5 linked regions of the Sus scrofa genome follow. The protein of the gene in region 2 purifies or fractionates together with the protein of the main gene of each other region. This does not show direct contact. Links are inferred from orthologs where the notes say so. Each region holds a gene or a part of one and is shown on either strand. Other genes may lie near its edges.

Evidence for each region.
Region 1: the proteins of OTUD5 (region 2) and ZGPAT purify together in Homo sapiens (affinity purification with mass spectrometry; 3 studies listed by BioGRID, with this or other methods). This does not show direct contact. The link is inferred for Sus scrofa from reciprocal best matches to the Homo sapiens genes OTUD5 and ZGPAT.
Region 3: the proteins of OTUD5 (region 2) and SLC7A11 purify together in Homo sapiens (affinity purification with western blotting; 3 studies listed by BioGRID, with this or other methods). This does not show direct contact. The link is inferred for Sus scrofa from reciprocal best matches to the Homo sapiens genes OTUD5 and SLC7A11.
Region 4: the proteins of OTUD5 (region 2) and MAGED1 purify together in Homo sapiens (affinity purification with mass spectrometry, with the first as the bait; 3 studies listed by BioGRID). This does not show direct contact. The link is inferred for Sus scrofa from reciprocal best matches to the Homo sapiens genes OTUD5 and MAGED1.
Region 5: the proteins of OTUD5 (region 2) and SERBP1 purify together in Homo sapiens (affinity purification with mass spectrometry, with the first as the bait; 3 studies listed by BioGRID). This does not show direct contact. The link is inferred for Sus scrofa from reciprocal best matches to the Homo sapiens genes OTUD5 and SERBP1.

The regions. Positions count from the first base shown.
Region 1 is NC_010459.5:62,638,521-62,644,359, reverse strand, and holds the start of ZGPAT (zinc finger CCCH-type with G patch domain-containing protein), read right to left. Parts: upstream 3,373-5,839; 5' UTR 3,277-3,372; intron 3,061-3,276; coding exon of another isoform or gene 2,978-3,060; intron 2,808-2,977; coding exon of another isoform or gene 2,720-2,807; exon of another isoform or gene 2,633-2,719; intron 2,466-2,632; coding exon of another isoform or gene 2,373-2,465; exon of another isoform or gene 2,334-2,372; intron 2,277-2,333; exon of another isoform or gene 2,055-2,276; intron 2,021-2,054; exon of another isoform or gene 1,875-2,020; intron 1,794-1,874; exon of another isoform or gene 1,655-1,793; intron 1,369-1,654; 5' UTR 1,282-1,368; coding exon 698-1,281; intron 1-697. Other genes in the region: ARFRP1 (ADP-ribosylation factor-related protein 1), read left to right, coding at 2,373-2,465, 2,720-2,807, 2,978-3,060, 5,376-5,457, 5,600-5,670. UniProt on the Homo sapiens protein: Transcription repressor that specifically binds the 5'-GGAG[GA]A[GA]A-3' consensus sequence. Represses transcription by recruiting the chromatin multiprotein complex NuRD to target promoters.
Region 2 is NC_010461.5:43,026,057-43,032,158, forward strand, and holds the start of OTUD5 (OTU domain-containing protein 5), read right to left. Parts: upstream 3,402-6,102; 5' UTR 2,641-3,401; coding exon 2,047-2,640; intron 1-2,046. UniProt on the Homo sapiens protein: Deubiquitinating enzyme that functions as a negative regulator of the innate immune system. Has peptidase activity towards 'Lys-48'- and 'Lys-63'-linked polyubiquitin chains. Can also cleave 'Lys-11'-linked ubiquitin chains (in vitro).
Region 3 is NC_010450.4:88,605,696-88,611,454, reverse strand, and holds the start of SLC7A11 (cystine/glutamate transporter), read right to left. Parts: upstream 3,373-5,759; 5' UTR 3,004-3,372; coding exon 2,727-3,003; intron 1-2,726. UniProt on the Homo sapiens protein: Heterodimer with SLC3A2, that functions as an antiporter by mediating the exchange of extracellular anionic L-cystine and intracellular L-glutamate across the cellular plasma membrane.
Region 4 is NC_010461.5:45,319,905-45,325,910, reverse strand, and holds the start of MAGED1 (melanoma-associated antigen D1), read right to left. Parts: upstream 3,373-6,006; 5' UTR 3,241-3,372; intron 2,702-3,240; 5' UTR 2,673-2,701; coding exon 2,628-2,672; intron 1,927-2,627; coding exon 1,201-1,926; intron 548-1,200; coding exon 1-547. UniProt on the Homo sapiens protein: Involved in the apoptotic response after nerve growth factor (NGF) binding in neuronal cells. Inhibits cell cycle progression, and facilitates NGFR-mediated apoptosis. May act as a regulator of the function of DLX family members.
Region 5 is NC_010448.4:145,183,984-145,190,076, reverse strand, and holds the start of SERBP1 (plasminogen activator inhibitor 1 RNA-binding protein), read right to left. Parts: upstream 3,373-6,093; 5' UTR 3,245-3,372; coding exon 2,932-3,244; intron 1-2,931. UniProt on the Homo sapiens protein: Ribosome-binding protein that promotes ribosome hibernation, a process during which ribosomes are stabilized in an inactive state and preserved from proteasomal degradation.

The DNA.
Region 1 (5,839 bases), on a different chromosome or scaffold from region 2:
TTTTGTCTTTTTGCCTTTTCTAGGGCCGCTCCCCGCAGCATATGGAGGTTCCCAGGCTAGGGGTCGAATCGGAGCTGTAGCCACCAGCCTACGCCAGAGCCACAGCAACGGGGGATCCGAGGCGCGTCTGTGACCTACACCACAGCTCACGGCAACGCCAGATCCTAAACCCAGTGAGCAAGGCCAGGGATCGAACCTGCAGCCTCATGCTTCCTAGTCGGATTCGTTAACCACTGCGCCACGACGGAACTCCTCTACAATCTGCTTTAAAAGTCTAGGAACAGGTGAAACAAGATTGGCAAAATACTGACAGTCCACAAAACCCCAGAAGTGGGGGGGTGGACGGTTGTTCTACCTCCTTCAATGTCCTGGATGCTTGACAATTCCCATAACATAAACAATCTTCAGAAGTCTCCCTTTGAAGAATAAAAACTAGTGCCGGGGGGGGGGGGGGGGGGGGCCCCATTCTTTTCATCATCCGCACCTCCTGATGTACCCCGAAAATCCGAGCAAACAGCTGGAGGAGAGCATCTGCTGCAAGAACCCCCTGGCCCCCAAAGAGCTCTTCTTCTCAGCACCCTGCTGGGCGACGAAGGACAAAACTCCAAAACACAGCGGGCCAACCCCAACCCTGAGCGCAAGCCCCCCACCCCAGAGGCCGCAACCCCAGAGGCCGCAGGGGGAGGCAAGGCTTTACCTGCAGTTCTCCTGGAAACGGCACTTCCCCTCCAGGAAGAAGGGGCAGGGCTTCAGGGACTTGTGAGTGGGATACAGATAGAGCACTCTCACGCCCGGGGCGCCGTCCTCCGCCTGCTCTGTGCCCACGATCATGGCGTTGTGATACTCCAGGGTGCCCCACGGGCTGTAGTAGGGGGCGTTCACCTTCCTCCCACTCAGCTCGGCCGCGTCTTCCTCGTCCTCCCCCTCTTCCTCCTCTCCAGGCTCCGAGGGGTCTGGCCCTGCCTCGTCCTTAGGAACAGTCTCCAATTCGGCCCGGGGCGCTGCTGGCACCTCCACCACCTCGGCGATGGCCTTCTGGAAAGCCACGTACTCCGCATCTTCCGGGGCTGGGTGCTCTCCGTCCAGCGTGGCCAGCAGCTTGCTCTTCCTGACGGACACCAGGCTGGCCTCTGTGAGCTCGATCAGCTCCTTCAGGTCCCCCTGCAGCTGGCGCAGGTCCGCCAGCTCCGAGGGATCCAGGCCGGCGCCCAGGGCCAGTTCCACCTGCCGCAACTGCGCGTCATAAGTCCGGAGGGCGGCCTGCAGGCTCTCCTCGTCCATCCTGCCAGGAGGGGCTGGTTGTTCGGCCAGGCCGCGGGGTTGGGGTGGGTGTTCTGGGTCCTCCCAGGGGAGGCGTGGGGGCCACAGCTGCGGGGAAGAGAAGCCAAATGAGCCTGGGACGGGCCACCGCTGCGAGGCTGGCCCTGGGCGGACAGCCCGCGGAACCGTGAGCTGCCCCCCTCCCGTCTGGGCCAAGAGAGGTTTCCAGCTCCGATCCGGCGAGCCAGAGCCGGCTCTCGGCCTTGGCCCCACAGCCGCAGCTCCCTTCTCAGGCGCCCCGGGGCGCTGCCGTAGGCTCTTCCGAGGTCTCCGCGCCTCAGCCGGGTGCCCCGGCCCACGCCCCGCGCACCCCCGCCCCGGCTCAGCCCGTCACCTCGCCACGCCCCAGACCCTCTCGCTCCGGCCGGGCCCTCCTCCGCACGGTCTCCCGGCCGCCGCCACAGACGGCCCGGCGGCCTCGGCGGCCCCAGCGGCCCCGCGCCCCGCTTCCGCCCTCGCAGCCGACAGGCACTTCCGCCCTCGCGCCGCCACCGCCGGAAGTGCTTGGCGCGGGGGCCGCCGGGACGGTTCCGCCCCTCCCCGAGTGGCCGGCCCGCGTCCCGTCGGGCGTCGCGCGGGGTCACCGCGGGGTCGGCGCGGGGTCGGAGGGTCAGGCGCCGCAGCTCCGGTGCCCTGGCGGCTCCCCCACTCCGGCGTCTCCCCGGCTTCGCGGCCCGGGCGAGCGGGCGGGCGGGCGCAGGTAGGCCGGGGCGGGCGGGCGGAGCCGCACGGCCACTCGGGGCCGCCGCCCGCCCCCACGCGCCCTCCTCTGAGGGGCGCCTGCGGCCGTCTTGGCCCAGGGCCGTCGAGGAGACCTGGGCGGAGCGAAGCCCGGAGGGAGGCCGGACGTGGGAGCGAGGGTGCCGGCAGCGCCGGCCGGGTCGGGAGCAGCTGCGGAGGCGCCGGCGGCAGTGCCGGGCAGAGAGGAGGCGGGTCGGCAGGGCCCGGGGCTCCAGGTCTGAGCGGACAGCAGGCCGACAGACCCTTCTGCCGCTCGGGGAGGCGGGGTGCGGGTCGGATCGCCGGTGACCGATCGCTGGTCTCCGCGCAGGATGTACACGCTGCTGTCCGGCCTGTATAAGTACATGTTTCAAAAGGACGAGTACTGCATCCTGATCCTGGGTCTGGACAATGCCGGGAAAACGGTACGTGCCGTCAGCGCCCCGCGCCCCCCGCCCCGAACGTGGTACTTTTGGTATCACGCATTTAGCTGCGTGTTGTCCAAAGATCCCAGCCCCCTCTAAGACCGGGGGACGGCTGGCACCGGCTGCCTTGATAGCAAAACGGTGTGCTGTTTTGCTTTGTCTTAAAGGAATAGGCCCAAGGAGGGAAACTTGAGAAACAGGCCGGAAAACCATTCCAGCTCCTCTCTCCTGCCTCTCTCTCCCTCTCCCCGCAGACCTTCTTGGAGCAGTCAAAAACCCGCTTCAACAAGAACTACAAGGGGATGAGTCTGTCCAAAATCACCACCACCGTGGGTCTAAACAGTAAGGGGGTTTCTTGAGGGCTGCGGGCTTGGCGGGCAGACCCCTGAGGGTGCTGTGATGGCCACAGGCCTGCAGGCAGGCAGAGCACCAGAGAGCCCCTCCCCAGGAGGGCTGGGAGGTGGGGTGTCAGGGACCAAGGCCACAGCCTCTCCTGTTTTCTTCTCGCCCAGTCGGCACAGTGGACGTGGGCAAGGCTCGCCTCATGTTCTGGGACCTAGGGGGGCAGGAAGAGCTGCAGTCTTTGTGGGACAAGGTAAGAGGGGGGTGGCCACACAGGCTCCCGGCCTGCCTCTCGCACCGTCCCTCCCGGGCCACCTTGGTCTCTCCCTGCCTTTCCTGGGCTCACCTTCTCTCCTTGCGGTCAGCAGCTTGGCTCCTGAGCCGCCCTGTGCTGTCCCAGTGCCCAGGGCGCTGTCCCAAGAACAGGGACATGCTGGGTTCCAGGCTTAGCGATGTTATGGCTACTCACCACAGGACGAAACAGAGGATGGCCGAGGGGCAGACGTGGGGAAGACACAGCGCCAGTGTGGTGCTCGGCCTCAGCGCCGGGGCCTGAGTTGCCATGTGTTCCGGCTCAGGACCTGTGCTCCCGCAGGGGACGTGTCCTCCAAGGCCCACAGCAGCCACCTCCGCTTTTGATGGAGGTCTGAGTCCTTCCTCCGACCTCCACATGGGGCTCTCCTCCCCACACAGCCCAAGGCCAAGTCAGTGGGTCCAGCAGAGAGGACAGAATGGGCCTCTTCCCTCAGCCCCGCCCAGGGGACGCCCACCCAGGGTGTGGCGCAGCCCAGTGCTGGGGCGCAGACGCGCCCATCCCAACACTGGCTGGTGGCCGGGTGCTCAGGACCTGATTTCTGGTTTGACGCTCGCAGCAGGTGCCCAGTCACTTTTTCCTCGTCCCCCAAAGGTGTCCTCCCTAGCCTGCCTTCCATCCAAGTGGGCGGTTTCTGTCTCGTGGTCAGAACGTCACTGACAGGTCCTCTGAGGCCATTTAAGTGGGACAAAGGCAGAGTCAAGCCAGGGGCTGTTTGTTCAAGTCCTCGACCCACATGGGAGCAAAACTGGTCCTGAAGTTCCGTCACAGGCTGGAGTCTCCGGAGCAGAGGCTACCTTGGGGATTGGGGTGCAGGATATCCTGGGGATCAGCACCAGGGGGCGCTGGGGACTCGGGACTGGGCACGGCAGGGGCGTCTCGGGCAGCTGCCCCACGTCAGGCCACGCTGGCCAGGACTCCATTCCCTTGGCAGGTCCCCACAGTGGGCCACCCTGGGCAGCTGTGACAGGGTAAGGTGCATCAGAGTGGGTCCTGCAGGAGGTAACACGGGCCACGCACTGGGTGCAGTGCCCGCCATCAGGCAGTGAAGCCACAGCCCGTGGCAGGTGCACACTCCTTTCGCTCCTCCGCCTTGGGGGTGGCTTCTGCCAAGGAGAAGCTGGCTTGGTGGCTGGTTGTGACCCCCTTCTGTCCACTTCTTTTGGCCCGGTGGCCTCATCACGAGGGGCTGAGCCCTGATCGTCGAGCCTGCCGTCTCTGGTGGACCCTGAGTTTCTCATATGCTCCCCAACTTCTGAGTGCAGTGGGTGCCCTGCCTGCTGCCAGCAACAAGGTGTGGTCGCCCCTGGCCATGGATGGGGCTGCCTGACATGCCTGGGAGGCAGTGGGGGGGTTGCCACTTGGCTGGTGAGCGGGGGGCCACGGGGTGACCACACACCAGCCCCCACTGAGTCTCTGGGAGGGTGGAAAGCTGGGCTTCTGCTCCCACCCTGGCTCCCAGATGTAGTGTCCTGGGGCCTGCCCTGTCCCCACGCTGCCCAGCACCACTGCACCAGCATCATGTCGGGTGGCCGATTGTTCCCCTCTGGCAGATGGCTGGCGACCTTCACCCCCACCTGCTGCCCTCCGCTCACGCTGTGTGCTGCTGCCCACATGGCAGCTTGTCTTGCACTGGACGGGGGCCTGTGGGGCGGGGGGGGGGTGTCCAGATCCCTGGCTTTCCAGCTGGGACAGAGCAGCCAAGAAGCAGTCAGGCTTCAGGGCGTTTCTGTGCCCCTATCTCACTGGGGTGGAAGGCAGACTTGCCCGGCGCCTGCTCTGTGTGTCTTTCCTGCCGGGGTGCTGCCATTCACCCCCCCACACCCTGGGCCCTGGGGCTGGGGGCTGTCAGAAGGCCCAGGGCCGACCACCCTCCCAGTGCTAGTCCAGCCCGGAGCTCGCTGACGCCGGCACTGCTGTCCCACACAGGGGACACGGCTGCTTTAATGGGCTAGACTTGCCCCTCGGCGGCCTTCCTGTGGCTTTTCTGTGGCTTGCCAGTGGCACACCCGTCAGGCTTGCCGCCCCTACTGGCACAAGGGACCCTGCTCCTGCACTCCCACCCCAGGCCTGCACTGAGAGCTCCTCCCTCCGGGGCCGCTGTCAGGCCAGCGGTGGCAGGCGGGTCTCAGGAAGGGCCTTAAAGTGGACTTTCCAGCGCCACCCAAGGCTCTGGGGCCGCACCTCCTCTGTGCCCCACCCCCGGGGCAGCGGCCTGGTGCCCGCGGCTCAGCACCCTGTCTGCTCCTGCCCAGTACTACGCGGAGTGCCACGGCGTCATCTATGTCATCGACTCCACGGACGAGGAGAGGCTGTGCGAGTCCAAGTGCGCGTTCGGTGGGTGCGGTGGCCGGGGCTGGGTGTGGGCACAGACTGGGCCGCGCCAGGTCGGGAGGGGAGGCGGGAGACAGGGACCGGGGGCCCTCTGGGCAGAGGTAGACAGGGTGGGTGTTCACTGCCACCTCTCTGCCCGCCCCAGAGAAGATGGTCACAAGCGAGGCGCTGGACGGTGTCCCCATCCTGGTGCTGGCCAACAAGCAGGACATTGAGGTGAGCCCCCACGTCGGGGGACAGGGCTCCCTGTCCCAGAGGAGGGCCGCTGCCTTCCTCAGACACCCCGAGCCTGCCTGAGGTCTCCTCCTGCTGCCTGGCGCCTTCAAGCCACTGGGGCGGCAGTGCCCTCTTCTCTGCGCCCACAGGGTCAGGAGCCTCCCACTGG
Region 2 (6,102 bases):
GCCCAAAGGGCTGTGGCATGAGTTCCCTAAAAATCCCAAAGTTAAAGAATACCTCGCCAACTCCTTAACTGACCAATGAGGAAACTGAGGCCCAGGGACCAAAGGCAGAATGATTGTGATTCAACCAGCAAAGCCCCAGCAGAGCCAGAGTGGGAATCCAAGCACTCTGGCTACAGTGCCAGGTCCAACTTCTCCCACCACCTCAGCATGCAGGCCCCCTTCTCAAAATGTTCCGTGGGGCCCTTAAGCTCAGGATACTTTCAAGTCCTTTTCTTCATATGGGAGACTCTTGGCAAGGCAGCCATACCTGGGAAATGAAACCCCTGACAACACCTTCCTAGTACGGAGACCCCAGGGTGCCAAAAGGGCTCCTAAAGGCAACAGAAATACAGTCACAGCATCAGGACAGACGGGAAGTCTGAGCAGTCACAACAAGGACCAGATTCACCATCTGGGCTCCCTCTCAACAACGCCCCTCTTTCCCAAAGGATCTGATTGATCTCCAGGTTACAAACTGCCCCCAGTGACAGTTCAGAATCAAGCCTGAGGCAGCAGGAAGAATCTCCTCTCTTTTCATCCCCATGCTGAACCAGGTAAGGCAAGAAAAAGCATCTTCTTCCTCCTTTTGTCCCAAGATGTGGGAGGACAGGAAGCCTCTCCTCTGTCATTGGAAAGATATCATGCCATCACAGAGCTTTAGTTCCATGTTCTTATAGGGACAATCACAAGGGAGGGAATTCTAGCCTAGGAGATGCAAAGGGGAGGTAAGGAGGTGTCTTTCTACTAGTCACCATGGCAGCACATGACTTCTCCGTGCCCAGGACTCCCTATTTCTGTGGAGAAGAAAAGGCACACTTTACTGCAACCAGGGAGAGAAGAAACAACTCCTAGCCCTGACCCTGGCAGATAATTTACCCTGCCTAGAGTAGTAGTAATGGGTGGAAAGGGAACAAGGACAGGGGCTCAAGACAAGGCCCTGGCCCCTGTGAAGCACAGAGAGATTTACCTGAGCCAAGGGGGAGAGGAATGTGGCTGCAGAATTTGCTTGCAGTGGGGATGTCCCAAACCCCTTCCCTGTCTCTGGGAAGGAAAAAGCTTGCTAAAAGCAATTCAGGAAGCTCAGAATATTTCCCTGATCCTGGAAATAAGCAGGACAGCTGGCTCAAGGAGAGACTCAGAACATCCAGTGCTCGAGGGGAGGCCTCGGGACTCACATCCCCAGCACCTGACAAACTTCTCACAGAAAGTAAGGAAAACTTCCTAGCCTCGGGGCTTCTTATGATTGTAAAAAGCACCCAGACCCTTCTATTCAAGGGGGGGAAGACCTCAGGCCCCACTGGGGAAGATCTCACCTCCCTCTCCCTGGTGAGAAAGGATTACCTGGTTGGGGGCAGGGGGAGCCTCACGCCCAAGCGGGGAGCTCTAGCCCCTCCCTGCGGGGAAGCTCAGGCCCCTGGGAGGAAGGTCAGATTCTCCCTCAGAATCCCACCATACCCGTGTTCCCAAGGAGAACGAGCTACTCACAGGACTTACTTCACAAGTGGAAGTGGAAGGTCCTTCTCACAAGACTTACTTCACAAATAACCCTTATTTATATTCTGCGGAGAGAGAATCTTAGACTCTTACCCCGGAGGAAAAGAAACCTCAAGCCACCGAACACAGACCAAGATCCTTTGGAGAGTCATGAGATTCCATTCTCCAGAGGCATTCCATCCTGCCTGTCTCTCCTGGGGAGTTCCTACCTATTGGCCCTAAACGATGAGATTCCAGGGCCTGGAATGACAACTACGCGTTCTAGAAAAGACCACAGAGCCCATCTTCAAAGCCTCCATCTTATCTGGGGCCTCTAACCCCAAATCCTTGGTGGGGTGGGCGTGAGGGTGGGAGAAGAGCGTCTCACGCCCCCGCCACCACCAGAGAAAAGACTGCCAGGTTCAGAGAGAAGACACAGGCTCCATCTCAAAACAGCCTTCCTTGGGTCTTTACCCTGTCTGGGGATTCCATCCACCACACCCACTCACCTGTCACCCCCCTTCCTGCCCATACCTGCTCAACGGTGGCGGGGTCCATGGCCTCGATGCGCGCTGCAGCCGCTTCATACTCGTCCTCACTGTTGTAACCTGCGCCGACCTCCTCGCGCTCAGGGCTGCCCCCGCCGACCGCGCCAACCCCGGGGGCTTGACGCCGCCTCTTGCTGTGGCCCGGCCCGGAGCAGCAGCCGCCCACGCCCACGGTGCCGCCCACACCCACCACCACGCCCGCCGCGCCCACCCCCGCTGCCGCTGCACCCAACGCGTCACCAGGACCGCCGCCGGGACCGCCGGGACCCCCGCAAGGAGGAGGAGAGGCCTGCTGTGGCCGGGGTCCCGCCACGGCGCCGGGCGGCACGGCCAGCGCCCAGCGGTGGAGTGCACCTGGTGGCCCCGGGAGCGGGCCCTGAGGCGGTGGCGAAGCTCGGGGACGGGGCCCCACGACGCCCGAGTCACGGTCGCGGTCGCCACCACCCACGCCCGTGCCACCGCCGCCCACGCCTACACCCCCGCCGCGCCGCGGCGCCGGGGGCAGCGGCCCGGGCGGCGGCGGCTCGTTGGCTGGGTCGGCGTCGGGAGGCGGCGGCTTCTTTTTGGGGAGAATAGTCATGGCGGCACTGCCGAGTACCCCCCAGCAAACCCGGCGCGGGGCACGCTGGGAGAGGACCCGGATGAGGGGGCTACAGTGGTGCGCGAAGCACGACGGGATCGCCGGGACCCGGATAAAGAGATCGCGGCACCGGTTCTCGAACCGTCGGCGGCGCGCAGGTCACGCGGCTGGAGAACCCGGATGTGAAGTCCAAGATGAAGGCACCGGTGCGAGCCTGTCGTAGCCTTCTCCCCAAGTCCAGCAAGATTATTGCTACGCTCGTTCCGGCCTTCGGCTTCAAAGGAAACAGAACCAAAACAAGCACCTCTTCGCCCCGCCCCCTCGCAGGTTCTTGAACTACCGGGTGGGGCCCGGGGCGTTGCGCACGCGCGCCGGGGCACAGCCCCGCCTCTCTCTCGGAAGTACGTGGGCAAAATCTTCACCGCCGCCACAACAATTGCGGGTACCAACCAATCGAAGCGGCTGCGTGGGTCCTCGGTGATGCCCACGGGCCAATCAGAAGCGAATAATCGCCCTCCCCTGCCCTCCGTCTCAGATTTCAGTCAAAGTCGGCACCCTCGTTCCTTGCCTTTCCTCTCGTCGTCCCCGTCCTGCTCTTCTCTCCCCGAGGCTCTGACTCGCAAGCGGGGGTACTGCAACTGGACAGCGTGGCCTGCCCCGCACACGACAGTTTTAAAATCGCCTCCCTTCCAGGCTTCCAACTTGGCTGCAGTCAGCCGGACTGACAGGAAAATATCAACACTCCCAGAGCTTAGCTAGACCCTGAAGCGTCAGTTCCGGTTCCACCCACCTGCAAATCCACATCCGGTGAGGAGGCGGGCGCCGCTTCACCCTGGCAACAAGCCTAGTTCTGCGGTGATTGGTTAAGAGATATCGTCACTCACGTCGGACGGGCCAACCTTGGGACAGACTGAACCGTGGGGACAGGGGGTGTTTGGAAAGCAGACACGCCCTCTCTGGCACAGCCGCACTCTCGCCCTCGCGTTGACCTCCCCGCCCCTGTGGCTAGTGCGCAGGCGCGGCAAAGCCTTTTCCTCTCCACCCCCCCACACCTCTTTTTTTCTTCTCCTCCCCCCGCACCCCCAAACTGAGTGTACCTGAATCGAGCGAAGTTTATAAACCAGCTCCGTCACCAACCAGCGTTTCACAATGAGGTTGGTAAAATTCCTGCTACTGCACGGATGGAGAACTAAAAGCTAATCCTGGCTCTGCCACTCCTGAGTGATCTCTGGCAAGCCATTTAAAACCCACCCAATCCTCAATTTCCACTTCTCTATAAAATGGCCATGATCATTCCAATTTACGCCTCAGAGATTAATGCTTACAAAGGGCCTCCCGCTGTGCCTAGGACACAGTAAGTGCTCAATTAATTATTCTGCATGTCAGTGCAAAGGAAAGGATCTCAGGCTTTGGAGTCAGGACGACCTCTGTTCCAGGCATGGGCGAACCATTACCAACTGTCTGACCTTGAGCAAGTCATTGTGTAAATTTTACCTCTTGTTACCTCTGTGTGAAACAAGAATGATAATGCCTGCCCAAACTACCTCAGGGTGCAGTTGGAGAATTCAGATGAGCTCACGAACCACGAAGGTGTCGGGAGAGGTGAGGGTTCCCTGCCAATCTTAGGAACCAAGCAATACAAGCTCTTCTGAGTGCCACCTAATTTTCTCCCTTCAGATGCCAACCCTAGTTGAAGTTCTTACTGAAGGGTGGCAGTAATAAACAGAATAGAGCTGTGTTTTCTTTTTCTTTCTTTCTTTTTTTTTTTTTTGGTGGTGTTTTCAGCTCATGAGACTTAATGGGCTTATGGTGTTTAGGGAACTGTGCAAAATGCCTGCGCACATTATCATACTGATTCTTCTCGTGACCGTCTCACTCAACCCTATATCCCACTCCCTGCTGGATATTTGTCCAGCATTACACATCTGGATCTGAACTTACAATAATAATTGTAGGTAGCCTTTACCAAGTAGTTGCTATGTGCCTGTCATTATGTGTGCAACAGCTTTGATGTTCCCACTGACAGTGAATGAATGACACCCAGCCTTTGCCCAAGCCAGGGAACTTGGAAGTCAACTGCTCCTTCTTCCTCAACTTCCACATACCTGTTGATCCCAAGTCTTGCCACTTCTATCTCTGAAATCTTTTGACTTTCCAACTCTTACTGCCACTTCCCGGTCTAAGCCACCATCACCTGCCAATTGCACTACTGCAAAAATCTCCTCACTGTTCTTCCTCCCTCCAGGACTGGTTCTCTATACCCCACTCCCCACAGCCAGAATCATCCTTCTGAATCACAAACCTCATGATGACTTTCCTGTTTCTAAGCCTTCAGAGCCCCATTATGGTTAAGATGAAGTCCGAATCTGTATCACAGCTTCAAAGGCCTCTTGTGATCTGCCCTATCTCTATATCCTCACCCTCATCACGACCTCACACTCTCCTCACCAGGTGTGCTAAGCCACTTCAGTTCTCCAAAGGCCCTGAGCTTGAACTCTAACCTCCAGGCCATTGCACATACTGTTCCCTCTGCCTAAAATGTTTTCACTCTTGTCTTTTGCCTGGCTAACTCCAACTTATTGTTTGGCCAGGTTTGGTTCTCTTGCCATCTGCCTGCTCCTATAATCCATCAACTTTGGTTCTACTACGTTATGTTATAATGGCTTAATTGCCTTCCATGCTCACCTCTGTAGATCGGAGATGATGTCTACTTTGCCCATTTTTGTACCCCTACAGCTGGCACATGATATGCAGTTAATACATATTTGATGAATAAATGAAGATTATTTCACAGATTAGCAACCTGAGGCAAGGTAAGTGATTCTCTCACCCGGGGACCAGAACCCAGGTCAACCTGAATCCAAGGTCTGTCTTCTTGGTGCTCCACAGAGCTGTTACACTAGCCTACTGTATCCAGTAGCCCAGAAGAGAGAATATAGGTAGGGGACATCCACAAGGAAGAGGAATTCGCCAAACTGAGAGATTGCTTTTCGTCAGGGTTCAATTCAGAGCTGTTTTCAGGAAGCGTGGGTGGGTTTTTTTTTTGTTGTTGTTGTTGTTTTTTTTCTCTTTTGGCCTTTCCTAGGGCCACTTCCCACAGCATATGGGGGTTCCCAGGCTAGGGGTCAAATCGGAGCTGTAGCCTCTGGCCTACACCAGAGCCACAGCAACGCAGGGTCCAAGCCACGTTTGTGACCTACACCACAGCTCACGGCAACGCCGGATCCTTAACCCACTGAGCAAGGCCAGGGATCGAACCTGCAACTTCATGGTTCCTCGTCGGATTCCTTAATCACTGCGCCACAACAGGAACTCCTCAGGAAGCGTGGATTTAAGTCTGCTCTCACCAAGCGTGTGCTGCTTTGGGTCTCAGTTTTTCCATCTGTGAGTGAAGGGGCTGGAGCAGATTATGTCCATGGGGCATGTCTCAGGATCTCCTTGCCTACCTCACTGGCTATAGAT
Region 3 (5,759 bases), on a different chromosome or scaffold from region 2:
TTGATGTTATGTGAAAAGTTCTATCCATACTGCTAAGTACTTAAATGTAAGACCTAATTTCTGCCTTAGCTACTTTGGAGACTAAAAGTGTGGCAAATTATTACTAATCAGTAAAGCTTCAGGTAGAACAGTCCAACATTAATATATTTTGGATATTCCACAAAATCTTACTGTTATTTATCCTATTCTTAAAACTAGTACTGTATCTGAATCACCTGGGAGGACTTTTATTTAAAATAAGAACAAATGCTAAGGCCATATCCCAGAACTACTCTCTAACCAAGAGAGACCAGAGTCTCCAGTAGAGGCATCCAAGTAGGTCCAATATTTTAAAATTTGCACAGCTAATTCTAGAGTAACTAGCCTACAGATTGATATTTGCAGATCACCGATACAGTTTGTCTAGTTTATAACTCATTTTAACAAGTTGCAATTTACTGTATTTGGAAACCAGCTGCCATGTTGGCAGGCTATACAAAAGAGCACCTAATATGAAATGTTACGGGAAAGTGTCCTATGTATCTCAGAACTTATCGCCAGAGAATCAATACCTAGACCTATGTGTGCTTTTCTGAAATTCTAGAATGGTTGTCCCAGGTTTAAATTTAGTTCCTGGAGAAATGAAATTTTCATGTAAAAATCTCAAGCCCCAAATAACCATTTTTACCCATATGAAAAAAGTTCAAAACAGAATGTAAGGATCCATGTATTGACCCTGGCTTTAAAAAATTATAAACCAAATTCTTTACTCTTACTCCCAGAGTTCTAGAGCTTTAAGACCAAGGATTTTTTTTTCCTTCTATTTGCTTTGCTTCCTGTTAAGAAAACACTCCTGTCAAAGGCTCCTGGTGGCTTGAGTGACAAATGCAATACAAATGTAGATTAGTACAGAAGCATACTCCCTGCAATTAGTAATCACAAATTACTAACCCATGTGTAAGTTTAGCTAGTTTCTTTAGCATTTTTTCCCCCTGAACTTCTTGAGGCAAAAGCATATTCTCACAGTTGAAATCAACATTACTTTAATCAGTTTAATGCTGAGAGCCACTCATTTTATTCTATCATAATAACATTTTGTTGGGTACAAAAATGGAATCACATAGTGGGAGTTACCACACATAGTATGCAAAGTCATGGAAACTGGTGATGGTTTTGCCAACTAGTAATTGATATAGGCTGAATATACCAAGTGTTGTAGAAGATTAAGAAAGCCCTAGGGTACACAAAGTCATTTAAGAAGGTAAACAATTAGGTTTCTCTGTGTCTATAAATATACATGCCACTCCATATGAATACCACAAACTCTTGGCAAACACCTAAAAATAAGTCCTCTGCAGATCTTTCCATGCTAAAAGTTTTGTTTTAACAAATTTTATCTAAAATATATTCTTCCCAATAATGGAAGTTTGAGTTCTTTAGATGAATATTCAAACTAATGCATTAAAACATTACAAGGCCTTAAGAATAAGTGGATTGTTATGTGTAGGACTGAGAGTTTGTACTTAGTAATAGTGTTAGTACCTTTAAAAATAAATCCTTTGGAGCATGATAATGTGAGAAAATAGAAAGTATACATGTATGTGTAACTGGGTCACCATGCTGTACAGTAGAAAAAAAAATTGTATTGGGGAAATAACAATTACAAAAATATTTTTAATAAATAAAAAGATTTTAAAAAATAATAAGTCCTTTGGGCATCAAAACACAGTATTTGCCAGAGAAGAGCACAAATGTCTTATACACTTTTTCCATAGCGTAAGTAAAAATTTCATTCTCTTGACCATCCACCAGTTTTTGCCACCTTTACAACAAACTGAGGTGTCTTTCTAATAATTTGCCCACCTCATTAGGGGTCATTTATTAACTCTTTCCTATTAATCATTAAATCAATAGAAGAGATCTAGATTTTGAAGAAAAATAATAATCATACTTCTACCAGTTCTGTTCAGACTAACTCAGCAGACAGGTGGATAAATTGGCCTCTGGAGACCAAGTGAACTGGCAATGAAGAAAAGAGAGTCTGTGCAAACACAGCAAACCAACAACCAATTCCAATTGTATAATTTTTACTGCAAAAGTTTATAGGTACTGGAGAGAGATAAAAGGTTGAAAGAATAAAAGATGCTCGGACCCTTGCAATTTTCCCACTTATGATAGGGAATGAATTATGTGCCGTCACTTTCACATCAAGGACTTTTTAAAGAATACTAGGAACTAACAAACACATGAAGTTAAAACATTAAAATGGAAAAGATTTCCACCCATTTGTTTTGCCAATAAAAAGTGAGTAAAACTTCTGTTGAACACTCAGTTCCGTGCTAAATAGGCCACACCAGGTTTCACTTCACAGGTGTTTCATCTGGACTGCCAGCTGCCAAGATGTCCCAGACACACTAACTGAGCACAAGTACTACTCGGTACAGAAAGCTCACAGGTATTTTACTGGGTCATCAAAGTTAGCCTTAATGTTCATTGCCACAGAGGAAAGTCAGAAAAATAGTCTGTGGAAAAGCGAACACAGCCTACAAGAAGCAATTTCAAGGAATTCAGGAGTCTGCCAACAGTGGACACTGTGTTTGAATAGTTTGCATACCTCCTCCCCAAATCAGAAAATCTGGAGTGGCCTGTGCCATTCATTCACTCCTCCGTAGAAATGAACCTCTGCTCTCCCGGAGAGGAAACTGCTGCGCTCCCCAGACACACCCCAGGGAAGCAGCTGCACTCACCAAACAGTGACAGGACCCCGCATACGGTCCAGACGACCAGGGACAAGCCCACGCTGCCTGTGTTCTGGAGCACGCCCTTAGGAGAGATGAAGATCCCTGCTCCGATGATGGTCCCGATGATGATGGAGATTCCTCTCAACAGAGTGATTTTCTTCTTCAGCACAACTTTCTCCTGCCCAGGTGGCTCCCTGCCGCCCAGGGAGGGCAGCCTCCTGTGAACATTCCCCTGCAGGTAACCTCCATTGGAGATGGTGGACACCACAGGCTTTCTGACCATTGTAGTCACCCGCAGGGGAGAAAAGGAAGTAGCAAAAAAGTACAAAATAAATAAATAAATAAAAATAAACCCCCTAAACTTTCAACTTTGGTGCCTGTTGGTGTTTCTTGACCGATGGTTCTCTTCCTCTTTGCTTTCAGATTCCTTCTCAGTTGTTACTGGGCTCACAGGTAAAAATGCTCAGGTATATTTTTGCCTTCAGAAATCTAATTACTCCTGAGAAACACCTGTGTGTTCGGTCATGGTGTTCTGGTTCCTCCACCTCCCCGACTACCTCTGCTGCTGCCTCTGCTGCTGCTGCCGCCCTATCATTACAGACCAGCTCAGCTTCCTCGTGGGCTGGTATTTAAGCTCCTGCCTGTCACACAAACTTACTCCGGCTGGATGATGATGCAAATTCTCCAGGTTTGCATCAGCCACATGAGAAGGCTCCAGCATTACTCAGCTTTTTTTTTTTTTAAAAAAAAAAAAAAAAAAAAAAAAAAAAAAAAAAAAAAAACCACTAGCAGCAAGTTGCTTTCGGAGGACAAAGCACACACTTAAAAGGGATCCTAACCAATTCAGGAGTAGTAAATTCGGAACAGACCTTCTCCTAGTGAGGGACAAAAGCTCTTCACTCGAAAAGAAAATGAAAAATGAAACAGGAAATGATCCCTGCGTCGTTAAGAAGCTTCTTTTTTCTTTACCTTACATAAAAAACAGTTTCCACAAAACTGTTTTGATCACAGAACATTACCCAAAGCTGCACTGTTTATAACCACAAAATTTAGATTTCATCCTGCTTCCTGGTTAATTTTTTTTATTTTGGGTTTCCTAGCAACACAGTCAATCTAATATTTACAAAGCTGGAATGATTCTGTATAGCTGCCGTCTTGCACAGAACAATTGGGAGCTTTAACATTTAAGATAAAAATTATTTCTTACTACTATAATATACCAATACTTAAAATCACCATCTGAGTGTGACTACTATGAAAATTACAGTGACTCCAGAAAATAGTCATTTTCTGATTCTCCTTAGCAGTAGGTGATCTCCTAAACTAAGTAAAAGATATGTACTCTTCATTTTGCATGTTGTTCCATCAAATTATTAAAAAAAAACCCTTCAAATTAAGCAATATTTACAATGACATAAAAACATACACAAAACAAAGGCTTGAAAGGATACACAGACTAAAATTGAGGAAAATATTAACAATATGTAGAATTTCATTCTAGAGTGTGAATTGTTATATTGTGACTTTAAATTTAAAATGAATTAGAGGAGTTCCCGTCGTGGCGCAGTGGTTAATGAATCCGACTAGGAACCATGAGGTTGCGTGTTCGGTCCCTGCCCTTGCTCAGTGGGTTAACGATCCGGCATTGCATTGCCGTGAGCTGTGGTGTAGGTTGCAGACTCGGCTCGGATCCCGTGTGGCTGTGGCTCTGGCGTTGGCCGGTGGCTACAGCTCTGATTCAACCCCTAGCCTGGGAACCTCCATATGCCGTGGGAGCGGCCCAAGAAATAGCAACAACAACAACAACAACAAAAGACCAAAAAAAAATAAAAAATAAAAAAAAAATAAAATGAATTAGAAATATAAGCTAAGGTTAAAACATTTAGTTTGAGACAGTAAAAAAGGCAAATTATTTTTCTGTCTTTTAAGGGCTGCACCCAAGGCATATGGAGGTTCCCAGGCTAGGGGTCTAATTGGAGCTACAGCTGCTGGCCTACAGCACAGTCACAGCAATGCTGGATGCCAACCACATCTGCAACCTACACAACAGCTTACAGCAACACCAGATCCTTAACCCACAGGTGAGGCCAGGGAATGAACCTGTATCCTCATGGATGCTAGTCAGATTTGTTTCCACTGAGCCATGATGGGAATTCCCAGAAAGGCAAACACTTTAATGTTTTATTGCCTTTCTTAATCAAATGTCCATAAGACAAATACTAAAAGAAAAAAAATCCTAGATAAAATGTTTGGCAGAGGTGGTTCTGGATTCAATGAGAAGAATTATATGTTATCATTGCCCTAAAGCTACATTTACAAACACTTTTAAATACGCTTCTGAACATCTGAGCAAAAACGACAGAAAACTTGCATGTGGGAAGGGGGGGATGTGGAGGGGAGTCAGAATGATACAAGAAAGAAACAGCCACTAGCTGTTAAATGGACAAGCTCAGACCATTTAATGCTATGTCAGCACCTGAGGAAATTATCCACATCAATACTCTATCATCAAATAACAGAGGCTACCTTATTTCCTTTTTGTATTATCTACCTAAACCCTACATAATTTGCTTTGGGTATACCAAGTAGGGTTTTTAAAAAGCCAAAATAAATACTTTTTCCCAGCTGTATGTCTTTCAAAAAATTTAAATGGGTAGTTTTCCTCGTTCAATTTTGTTGAAACTCCTAAAAAGAAGAAGAAAAAGCTAAGGGAAGATTCTTCTATTTCTCTTCCTCATCCTAGGTGTTCTTCAATCACACAATTATTGTGATTAATACACATAGTGAAGAGAGGAGAGGTCTTTGTTTCCCAAAAAGGGGAACAGATTAGTTCTGGAGAAAAATGAGTTAAAAGTAAAAGACTAGAAATCCCAGCCACAACTTCCCATCTCCAACTAAGAGGAGCCACAGTGCAATTTTTAATTTTGAGTTTAATGACTGAACTAATAAATTGAGAATAAAGCTGCACTCAGAAAACCTAGATAGATTCTAAAAGAGGAAAAATGTTGTTTCAATACCAAACATTCTCCTACTTTGCTA
Region 4 (6,006 bases), about 2.3 Mb from region 2:
GCCAATCAGTGGGAATCCAGTCAGGTGGGAGCGGCCAGTCAGTGGGAAGTGGCCAATCAGGTGGCAGTGGCCAGTCGGGGGGCAGTGGCCAGTCAGGAGGGCCTTGCCAATCTGGAGGACCCTGCCAGCCTGGTGGAGTCTGCCATCCAGGTGGGGTCTGCCATCCAGGTGGATTTTGCCAGGCCAGTGGGTTCGGCCAGACAACTGGACCAGGCCAGACAATGGGGTTTGGCCAGATCACAGGATTCTGCCAGATCACTGGGTTTGGCCAGATCACTGGGTTCTGCCAAGCAACTGGGTTTTGCCAGGCTGGTGGGGTCTGCCTAGCTGGGGGGCTCTGTCGTGCTGGTGGGGTCTGCCTGGCTGGCTGATTTTGCCAGCCTGATGGGTTCTGCCAGGCCAATGGGGTCTGCCAGAGAACATTGGGAGGTGCGCCAGGTGGGCTCTGAGTGGTAATTGGAACGGGTGCAGACCTCCAGGTCCCTGGAGCCAGTGGGGCCCGCCTCTGATCCCCACTGCTGCTCTCTTCCACATTCAAGTTATTAATCTGCATCATCAAAGAGAAGGAAGGTCAGAGTCACCAACTGTTTCTATGTCCTTGCCCTATCTATTCCAGGAAGGCCCCCTAAAACCCTCACCTGTAGTGACAGCCTGACCCACTAGCCAATGGTCACCCTGAGTCCTGGGCTTGTCTTTCACTGTCTTCCAGGCAGGAGTTTCATCTCTGAACCAGGCCAGGAGCAACCCAAGGGTGGGGCCTGAAGCTTCTCCTCTTCCTATGTTCACCACTGGCTCTGCTTGTACCACCCTGGACAAATCACTCAAGTCACTTCACCTCTCTGGAAACTAGTTTCCTTCCCTGTAAAACTGAAACTATGACCCCAGCCGGTATGAAGCATCTTGAAGATTTAGTGCGTGAGATAACCTGTGTGAATGTGCCTAGGCCAAGACCTAACACATGATGGCTACTATCAAAATACACAAGGAATTACATGCAGACTGGATATATTACATGTCCATGTCTCATCTCCCCATTAGTCCGTGGACACTCAGAGGACAGGAATTATCACATACATCTTATCATCCCCTACAACCTAGCTGAATACAGGCAGCTATATATTGTTTTGTTTTAGAACAAATGAACAACCTCACAGAAGAAAGGAGAGGCCCAAAGCAAAGTGGAACTAGCAGGGATCTCACCTTTCGGGTCCTCTTGCCCCGAATTATAGTCCTGGATTCCAGATTCTGAGCCTGGGAGCCATCTGCTGATGTCTGTGCAGCTGCACCATCAGATTCACAGATACCTGGTCCTGGGTCAGCCTCTATGTCAGCCTGGGAAGTGGCCATCTTGGCCTGGTTAATATTCTGGGTCTGGGTTTCAGCTGTTGGGGCTTTAGTGGTATCATTCCAAGCCTTGAAGGCTGTCTTAGGCTGAGTGTTGACCATCTCATTGGCATTGAGAGATGGAGAGAAATTGTAAGTGGCATTTGGGCCCACCTTCGTAGTGGCATTCTGGGCCTTAAAGGCCATCTCAGGTTTGGCAGTTAACTCACTGGTGGTTGCTGCCTGGGAAAAATCATAGGCAGCATTTGGGCCCTTTGAGGGGGCATTTGGGGCCTTAAAGGCTACCGTAGGTGGTGTGCTGGGAATCTCCTTGGCATTAAGAGCCTGAGAGAAATCATAGGCAGCATTTGGGCCTTTTGTGGTGGCATTCTGGGCCTTAAAGGCTGTCTTAGGCTTAGTGGCAGCTGCTAAAGCCTGAATATCAGCCACCTCATTGGCAGATGGGGGCTGTGAACTCTGAGGACTAGCATTTGGCCCACTGGCAGCTGCTGTGGCCTGGTTGGTAGGTGGAGCCTCCGAGATCTGGATGGCCTCCATCAGGGTCTGCATAAGCAAGGTGCTGTCTTCTACAGAGGCCTCAGCCTGCAAATACAAGGGGAAAAAATAAATCTCTGGGCCTCACAAAGTGGGGTTGGGAGCGGGGGAGTAGCTCAGAGGAGGTGCAGGGGGGGCGGCTGGTGCAAAGAGAGGAAGGCTGAGGCAGAGATCTAGAGGCCTGAGAGGAATGAAGTGATAACAGAACGTGTGAGAGGGGCTGAGTGGGGCAGAGGTTAAACATGGGGCGGGCGGCGATGAGGTGAGGGGGGCAAAGTGGAAGGCAGGTGCTGATCTGGGAGTGAGGTTAGAGCAGAACATTGCAGTGTGAGGTAGGAGCTCAGGAGCAGGAGGAGGTGGAGCAAGAGTGCCGCCTGGAGGAGTTGAGGAGAATAAGGGGGTCGCAAGGGGTGGGGAATGCAGGAGGAAGGGAGGGTGGAGGAGGCTGGGGGAGGGGGCGGCAAAGAGCTCTACAAGCATCAGGACTATGGAAAAAAATGGTTCCTTACCCAACCCGCATTCTCTGGGCAGATTGCCCTGACTACTAACAGGGTCTCCCCTTTCTCTGAGCAGGGACTGATGGCTGAAAGGGACGCCCCCTCCCCCATAAACCATGGGAATTTGAAAAATGAAGGAATCCAGGCACCAAGAAGGCACAATCTGATCCAGGCGTTTGGATAGCCAAAGGGGCCCGGGAAGGGGGAAACTGTCGGCTGGGGAAATGGTGGGGTGGGGAGTGGAGATCTCACCTGGAAGCCGAGGAGGCCCGCACCACAGTCCATTTTCTGAGCCATGGTTCTTGTCCCTCTGGCAAGAGCAGAGCCTGGGGAGGGGGGTGTGGGGGAGGAGTTAGGCGTTACACTACAGAGGGTAAATGGGAAGGAATGAATGTGGGGAGACGGTGGTGTTTGAGGTTTGATTGTGGGGGCGGATGAGGTGCTGAATGTGAGGGGAACGGGCCAGATCGGAGTGGGAAAAGTGAATGGGTGTCCGGATGGATGTTCTGAATCCCTAGAAGCTACGACGGGGAGAAGCTTCAAATCGGGGTTTGGAAAACCGATTTAAGAGTTCTGAATCCAGGCGGATAGCACTGGGATTCGCATATGGGAAACTGAATGGAGTTTCCGAATCAGGAGGAATCATATAACAGTACAGATTGAGGTCGAGAAATCTGTAAATTCTGAACGATGGGAGGGGCTCAGAGAGCAAACAGGGATTCTGAATAAGGGAGGATCGGGTGAGGGGTGTGAATTAGGGTTCGGGGAGTGGAAGAAGGATCAGAATCCGGGGTAAAGGGATTGGGATGAAAAATGGGGGGCCCGCACCAGGGGGCAGATGCCCTGTCTGGGGGCTAATTCTCACCTTGCCTCAGGCCCCAACCCCAACCCCCTCGTTGCCTCCCTTCTTCACGACTCAGAGGATCGGGATTGCAGTGCTCGGCTCTCAGCAGCCGCACCCTCTCCTTGTCCAGGAGAAAATGCCAGCGCGGCAGCTAGGACGACCCCGCCTCTTCGCCTAATATACCACCCACCGCCTCAGATGGTTGTACGCATGCGCAAGAACTGACCGACCAAATAAGAGTCCCGCCTGCTTTCCCAACAAAAGCTTCGTCCTGAAGACTAAGGTGCGCATGTGCAGTGGGAGGCAATCCCGCCCCTTTGCCAACACACCACCCCACCACCAACCAGGTCGACAGTATACAGCGATCCCTCCCCTTTCTCTATATCCCCTCCCCCAAACAGATTCGCAGTGCCTCTAGATCCCACCCCTTGCCCCACACACTGGCCCCCTACCTTTTCCGCAATGCGTCTCTGTTCTATCCCTCCCCTCGCACGGCCCCTCCTGTCAGGTCGGCATGCATCTCCACCCCCTAGTCTAGCAGCACTTAGGTCACTATTAAGGAGGTCTCTGTAGGGGGGCTCTAACTGCTACAAGTGTTTGGCTCGGGCTAAAAATAAGCACATCCACTTAGGGACCCAGGAAAAGGAACGGCCAGAGGATACATTATTAGAGGTAGAGTCTGTGCCTGCCACGTGACTCCATGATTTCCACCCCCCTCCTCAACAGATCCCAGACTCATAAACATTAGCTTCTTTCCTGCCCTTTGTGCAGCTCCAGCTATTTATTTTGTGTGTGGAGGTGGGAAGGTGGGGAGGTGGGGAGGAGGGGAGGGAAGGGCACAGTTTGTACTTCACAGCACGATCTATGCTGGGGCTTGTTTTCTTCTTACAGCAGCCCTGGGAGGTGGATGTCAGCATCTCCATTTTACAGATAAAGACGCTGAGGTACAAACATATTGCATGAACTAGACAAAGCCACAAAGCCAGTAAACAGAGAAAGCAAAATGTGGTCCTGTCCTGGGTCTTCCAGACCCTAAAACCCACGATCCACCGGCGCTGGCCCAGGGACTGAAGCACCCTCCTTTTATCAGTTTAAGCAACAGATCTATCCCACCTCCTGCCCTGTCAACATCTGTCCCAAACAGACAAGGTTAGTGTTCCCTGAGACTTAAGCTCATGCTCTCAATTTAGGAGGAAACAGATAGAGGTCCCAGCTCTTCCTCCGCCCCGCCCCCTCCCACTCCCCGCCCTCCTGCTCTGTGGGTCCATCCAGATATGGGAATTGCTCATTGGGGTCCACTCCCTGCTCCGGCCGTCAGGCCCCTTCATTGTGAGAGGCACAAACGCCCTACCCCTGAGGCCTTTCTGGTGCCCGCTGGAGTGGCCAAGACAATCAGGCACTTGCAATTCTGAGCCATGGCAAGCCCGGATTCAGAATGTTTGCCCTGGTCCCTTCCTGGGCTGGGCTTCAATTCGTGGGATGGAGGGTGAGCCAGTGTCTACTAGCTGTGTGAGCCTGCTCAGGTCACTGGACTTTTCTGAGCCAGGTTTGTTCAATATGCAAACCATAAAGTGCAAAGGGCAATTACTGGGATCCTACCCAACAACACACATGCTGCTTGCTTTCAGAATGACTAGAGAGACTCAAAAAGGCAGAAAATAATATACAGATGTGAGATGACTCAAACTGAACTGATATTTTCCCAAAATCCAAGATCTTTGTATATTTCACATTTGTTCTGGCATCAGTTCCTGCCAGGAGCCAACATATGAAAAGGAAGCTAATGCTAGGAGGAACTGCAGCATTTGGTCCCCAAGGGCCAACATCAATTCTGCCTGGCTGGATGACTTTCCTCATCTGTTGCATAGCAACCTCCCCTGTCAGCTGCCTGTTTTTCCTCAGCACTTCCTCTGTAAAGTGTCTGCAGTGGGACGTGATCAGACTCAGGAAAGGAGATCTGAAACACCATTTTATATGCTTTCTGCTACCATATCTATCTCCAGTCTTGACCTGGCTTACTGAATTCTAGATCTGTAATTCTGCTGCCTACCTCAGTTCTGCAATTGGATATGTTTCTGAATTTTCCAATTAACATGTCCCGAACTGATTCTTTTGTATATCCTCCTCCTTACCAACCTTGTGTGTTTCTCTTTTAGTCATACCCTTCTCTCTCCATTAGAATAAAAGCCATTTATGGAGACGGATTTTTGTTTGTTTTATTCATTGCTGTATTCCTAGTACATAAAATAATGCATGGCATATTTTACATGCTCAAAAATATTTGCTTAATGAATGAATGAATCCTGCCATCTACCCTGTTGATTAAGCAAGAAACCTGAGAAGCATTCTTTTTTCTTTCCTGTGATGAATCACTTACTTTTCCTCATTACACTAATAATGCATATTCATCATTAAAAATTCAAACATAACCTAAATACTTTAGAAATTATGTAGCCAACACTCTAAATCTCACACCTTGAGCAAACTGCTATTAAGATTTTAATGTTGGAGTTTCCGTCGTGGCTCAGTGGTTAACGAATCCGACGAGGAACCATGAGGTTTCCGGTTCGATCCCTGGCCTCGCTCAGGAGGTTAAGGATCCGGCATTGCCGTGAGCTGTGGTGTAGGTCGCAGACGTGGCTCAGATCTGGTGTTGCTGTAGTTGTGGCATAGGCCGGCAGCTACAACTCCGATTGGACCCCTAGCCTGGGAACCTCCATATGCTGTGGGTGCAGTCCTGGGAAAAGACAAAAAAAAAGACCAAAAAAAAAAAAAGATTTTAATGCT
Region 5 (6,093 bases), on a different chromosome or scaffold from region 2:
ATTCTATGAAATTATAAAACTGAAAGGAAAACAAATGACAACAGTTATTTTATTATTATGGGGAGGTTTTTTTAGTTTGCCTTTACAAGTATCTTTGTATCTAAAGAATCTTTAAAAACCACACACGCGGAGCCGTTTTAAGCAATAGTTAAGAAACAACAGAAACTAAATGATGAATTCCCCTTATTTTTTTCCCATTAGTGTCAGAGGCCAAGAAGGCAACCAATATGCACTACTGGTGGCCTCAAGGATAAGAAGTAGATTGATGGTTAAATTCATGACGGTAAAATTTTAGGAATGCTCTAATTCCCAAACCACGGATTTCTGACAAAATCAAAAAGCACCTCAGGAATTGGCTTCATAACAAGAAATTAAACTGGCTCATTCTCCTTCTTGCTAAGAAAGTGTAACACCATCAGGATGCACCCAATTGCCCGGCTGCTTGTAAAGAGTAAAATGGTAGAGGTCAAACTCTTCAATGAAATTTTAAGGTCCATTCCACATAAACTCTCAGGACAGACCACAAATGTTAGCTCTTACACCAAGGCATTTTAAATAAATTTCATCAGAAGCAGTGTATTGGGGTGGAGCTACGGAACCAATCCTAATAATATCCAAAACACACACACGCCCAAATGAACAATGGCTTGATTCCCCACCCCAATATTCAACATTAGGTTAGCTTACAGAATTGAAAATTTTTCACCCAATGACTGATATTTTAAAATGCAAGCTTCTCTTTTTACTAGCTTCCAGGCTTTTAATATTAAACCAAAAACAAAAACACCTTGGTATACTCAGTGATATTCTTTGGTGTCAATTCTCAAGTTCCTCAAGTGTGCAAAAAACAAACTACGAAATTCATAAAATATAATCATTAAACACATATGTAAGGCATGTCTAGAATTGTGCCAGGACCTCTACTCAAAGGCAGAGAACACAGGATCAGGATAAAAATCCTTCCCAGTACAAGAAGGAGACTTTGTTTACAGTTCTTTCCTTTCCCAACCCCAGAACACTGACTGCCAAGTAGTAAGATCTCAAAACAAAATTTTTTTCATTCACCATTTTCACTATATTTATAAGCCAGTGTTTAATGCAAGTTAAGGTTAGAAATGCTGACCTAAGGAAAATGCTGATAGCTAACAATGGAAGTTTTCCCAAGGATAGACCACTGAATGAACACTCAGCCTTGGTTATAAATTTATAGAATAACTTTCTAACTCTGTAATTTAAAACACTAGTTTCCAGGTAAGAGCTTATTTCAAAGATGGACTTTATAATCAAAACATGAGATATTTAGCCATGCTTCATGCTTTCAACAGTCAAAATGGGTGAACACACTTGATTCAATTTTTTCATGTACTCTTCTTTGGATTAGTGTGATGAAGGAGGTAAACTGAGTATAGCTTAATTACATAAGCCAATGTTCCTTAACATAGAAATTAAATGGTTTATTAGATTGTGCTACAGGTAGCTATAAGGCTTAGTTGACTGCATGGATATTTGGCCTGAGCAATGTATACACGCTTTCTAATACTCAAATTTGTGCATCCCTCACCAACCAGTAATTTTAATACAATTAATTCTTTCATTTACCACCTAGGTTCTTCGTCCCAAACCTCATAAAGCTCTCTATATTTTTTAAAAATTCCAAATTAAAACATAACACAATTGTTTGGACTTTTTAGTTGAGTATTATCAAATTCAATTAAGGTAGTAAGAACTCCTTTCAGAAGCACGTGGCACTAAAGAAAATTTTCAACTTTCAACACACAAAGGAAACCTTTAAGATTCTACGCTTAGGTCCTATACACCGATTTGCTATAGGTCATGTACGTACACTTGCTTTTCCCAAAATGTCTGGGTTTAATCCACTGCAAAGGACAAACCAGTACCGAGAATGCATATACCAAATTCAAAACAATCCTGCGAAGTATTTACAGTGACCTGGAAGCAACTGCTAGCCGCCAATGAAATCCTGACCACGCTTCACGCACATGGGGAGAAAAGGTACAGACTCAAAACGGCTCCGCGGCGGCCAACGCTGTGACAGTCTCCGCGTTTCTTTCACCACGAGGCCCAGGCCAGGCCACACACCACATGAAACAGCGCCTGCGGGAAGGGGTCCTACGGGGGGGAAAGGATCATAATCCCAGGACGAGCCTCAGGTGCTATCACCGGTCGTCAGTGGGAATTCCCGCTCCTGTTCAACCCGGAGTGGCCAAATTTCTCTCCCTCCCAACAGCTTAACTCCTTCCAGCCAGTTATTAAGTTTGTAACGATTAAAGGGACGAAGAGGGAAAAATAAAGCCACATGCGGCACCTACAAAGAAAGGCAGCTTTCTCCACGATATCCGATAGGCTCGAGAGGATGGGTAGCTTTGGTGGAAACTCCGACCCCCGGCTTTGCTCAGGGTACCTCGCGCCATCCTGGGACAAGATGGCAGGACAGGAGCCTAAGAGAGACAATCGCACCTCGAAGCAGCAGGCTGCAGGAGAGCTCCGACAGGAAGAAGCCGCCGAGTCCCTGCTGCCCCGCTAACTACAAATGCCCGTGGAAGCAGCTCCCTTCCCCGAGCCCCGGTCCATGCGCCTGCCCGCCCGCCCAGGAATCCGGCGGGAAGACAAGAGCCTCTCAGGATCCCGAGCACGCTCGAGCAGCAGCTCGTCTCCGGACCACGCTCCTCCGCTCAGAGGCTGAGGCGGGAAGGGGGTGGCTCCAGGATCCTTGCAGGCGGCGGTTTGAACTTGGGGCTACCACGCTCCCAGCACCTTCGGAAGACCTGGCTTTGTCGTGTGGGGGAAACGCGAGAAAATCGGCGGCAAAGCCTCCCGTGGACCCTCGGACCCCAGAAGCAAGTGGTAGCTACAAGTCCCCTCAGTCCTTCCCTCCATCCCGGGTCTCCGTGGCTTCCACCACAGCTTTACCTTCTTTCTTAAGCGCCACAGGCGGCTGCGTCTCCTCCTTCTTGTCAACCACGCCAACGTTGGGGGGCAGCGGGTTCTTGCGGTCTTTCTGGGATTCTTTACGCAGCTGTTTGCCCGCCGCGTTGGAGTTGGTCTGCGCTGCGGCCTGAGCTGCGCTCTTGGCCCCAGGGCCCCCAACGCCGCCCCCGCCGGCTTCTTTTTTCTTGTTCTCTGCTGCCTTCAACACCTCGAAGGGGTCCGATTCGTCGTCAAATAACTGGTCGAATCGGTTGGTGACCACGCAGCCGAAGCCTTCCTGTAAGTGCCCAGGCATGATGGTGGCTCGGCGGCGCGTTCCTCCACGGATTGCAGCGGGCCGCGCCGAGCCAAGAGCGCCTGCTTCAGCTCTTCCCACAAGATGGCCGGGCTGCGAGAGGGGGGCCGTCTTCTCTTCCGGCGCCAGGCACACATCCGGTAGCGGCCAGCGCCGCAAGGCACCACGGGGTATGTAGGCAAGAGTCGCTTTTCCCGTGGCGATTCCCAGAGCCAGCACTACGATTCCCAGAGTTCACGGCGCGACAACTCTTCGCGCGCGCCTCAGAGGCGGGACCTCACCGAGGGAGTGGAGCGTGCAAGCTGAGGGAGGAGAAGCGCGGTGGTGGGCGGAGTTCTGCCACCTGCTCTCACCACCCTTAAACTCTCTGGGTCTTGAGCTGCGCTGAAAACAGGAAAACGTGAAGGCGTGTTTTCCTCGCGAAAGTTCTCAGTCTTCGGTTTTACTTCCCGCCTCCGGTCCAGGGCTAACTTTCCCCACCTCTCTAGGAGGGTCAAGGTGGCTACCAGTCTTATAAATGGAAACAAACTTCGAGGGGTTGCAGAGGTGCCGCTCTCTTCCAAGTGCCCCAGCTACTCAGTTGCTGGCGTCTCCCTCCTGCAGCCCCATTAATGAATCGAGACTCTTCTGCTTAATGTGAAGCGGAATACGCTTCCTCTCGCGGGGACTTGAACTCGAGCAGCAGAATTAACCTAAAAGACAAGTTGAAGTATTATATGTGAGTGTTGCGCGCTTGCGACCGGTGCTTTATTTGCTGTTAACTCCCGACAGTGCGGCGCTAGCCAGACCCTGGGCAAACCTCGAAAAGGCGTTGCTTATAGAAGAAACACTTTCTAGAGTCAATCTGATTGTCCGTTAGTGTCCGGAAAGGTACAGATTGGGTGTTTGTAAAATGTGCCAAAGAAGTAACATTTTAGAGCAACCGAATGAATGTGTGGTGTGCTAAAAAGTGCATTGAGGGGAGGAAAATGTCAGCGAATTGACTGTCATTATTAGTTGAAAATATTAAAGTCCTTTGAGATCATAGAGTGTCGATGCATATTCAAGCATATTTGGTAACACTAAGTTTAAATGTGTTGTCATAATTTTTAAACCTTTTTCCAGTAACGCAAAATATAGGGGAAAAAAATGCATCTCTATGTTCAGAGGCTATGAATGACCTTAATGTCAACAACCTGTTAGGTAGGTTTCCCTTTTCACAAATTAAAACCATTTCAGAGGTGAAAAGATTTACCAAGTTTACACTTCTGTAAATGCTAGTGCCAGGAGTTAACCCAGTCTTCTAATTCCACTCTGAGACGCTTGACATCCTTTTTAATCCAAATGCTACCTTTTGATAGAAGCCAGTCAATTATCAGTTCATTTCCAATATTTGATAAAATCTAAATATTGTTGCTTGTCAAGCAGGGTATGTAACATGGCCAAATGCAATCTTATCGATTTCTGAGAGGAATTCAAGTCAATTCCTTAACATGGGAAATAAAAGAGTCATATTACAGTCCTGTGGCAGCAAGCCTAGTGGTTTTCTAATTTCCAAATCCAGCCCCCATTCCTCAAAGTCACCTATTTCTCTTTTGCCTCGCACACACCTCCCTGTGGCACACACCTCCATCTCACACAGAGACCCTGGCTCCTTCCAAGAAAAAGGACAAGGAGTTTTTGACCATATTCATCATGCCTCTTTGAAAATAGTTCAGGTGCAATTTGGAAGATTGTAGTGCTTTAACCCTTTCTCTTTACCAGGGGCTGTTGTTAGTATCTGCATCTTTGAGGCATCTGCTACAGCTCCTCTTTTTACCCCTTTTTGGCCACTACCACAACAACATTAAGAGCTAAAACTTGATATTTTACTATACTCTTGGTGCACTTTACCTGTGTGATCTCATTTAATCCTCACACCAACTATGAGAAAGGTATTATTACTGCCTTTTTAAGGTGAGGATAATGAAGCGCAAAGAGGCTAAGTAACTTACCCACTCCCACAGTCTGGGGAGAGGGGAGGCCTATCCTTAGTTTTTATCCTATGTACAGGTCTCTGGTTTCCTCAAACAGACTTTTATGATTACCAAGCATTACTACAAGAATACTTAAACAACACATAGGGAAATTGTATGGCTGTGAATTTTTAAGGTTCGCTCGTGCTCCTCAGGGAATTCATCTTTAACATAACATAAAAATGTAAATAACCATTTAGGGAAAACAGGAAAAACTTGTAAACACTTCCAACTTCCTTTTCTCCCTTTCATCTCTCCTAGAATTTTGGTGAAGCCTAGAACATTTTAAAGCTCCCCCCCCCCTCTTTTTTGGCTACACCCTTGGCATGTGGAAGTTCCCAGGCCATGAACGAAACCCAAGTCACAGCAGCAACCCAAGCCACAGCAGTGACAATGCTGGATCCTTAACCCACTGAGCCACCAGGGAGCTCCTTAAAGCCCATTTTCAAAGTATACAAATAAAGCTCAAAATGATAATTCTTTTACATCTCATAATTTTATTTCATATGTAATCATTTTCCTTTCTCTTGATAAGTTAGAACAGTCTTTAAAAATATATTTAAGTTTCTGGAGTTCCCGTTGTGGCTCAGTGGTTAACGAATCCAACTAGAAACCATGACGTTGCAGGTTCGATCCCTGGCCTTGCTCAGTGGGTTGCCGTGCGCCGTGGTGTGGGTCACAGACGTGGCTCGGATCCCGTATTGCTGTGGCTCTGGCGTAGGCCGGCAGCTACAGCTCTGATTAGACCGCTGGCCTGGGAACCTCCATGAACCGTGGGAGTGGCCCCAGAAAAGGCAAAAAGACAATAAATAAATAAATAAATAAATAAATAAAGTTCCTGCTATTCTCAATAGA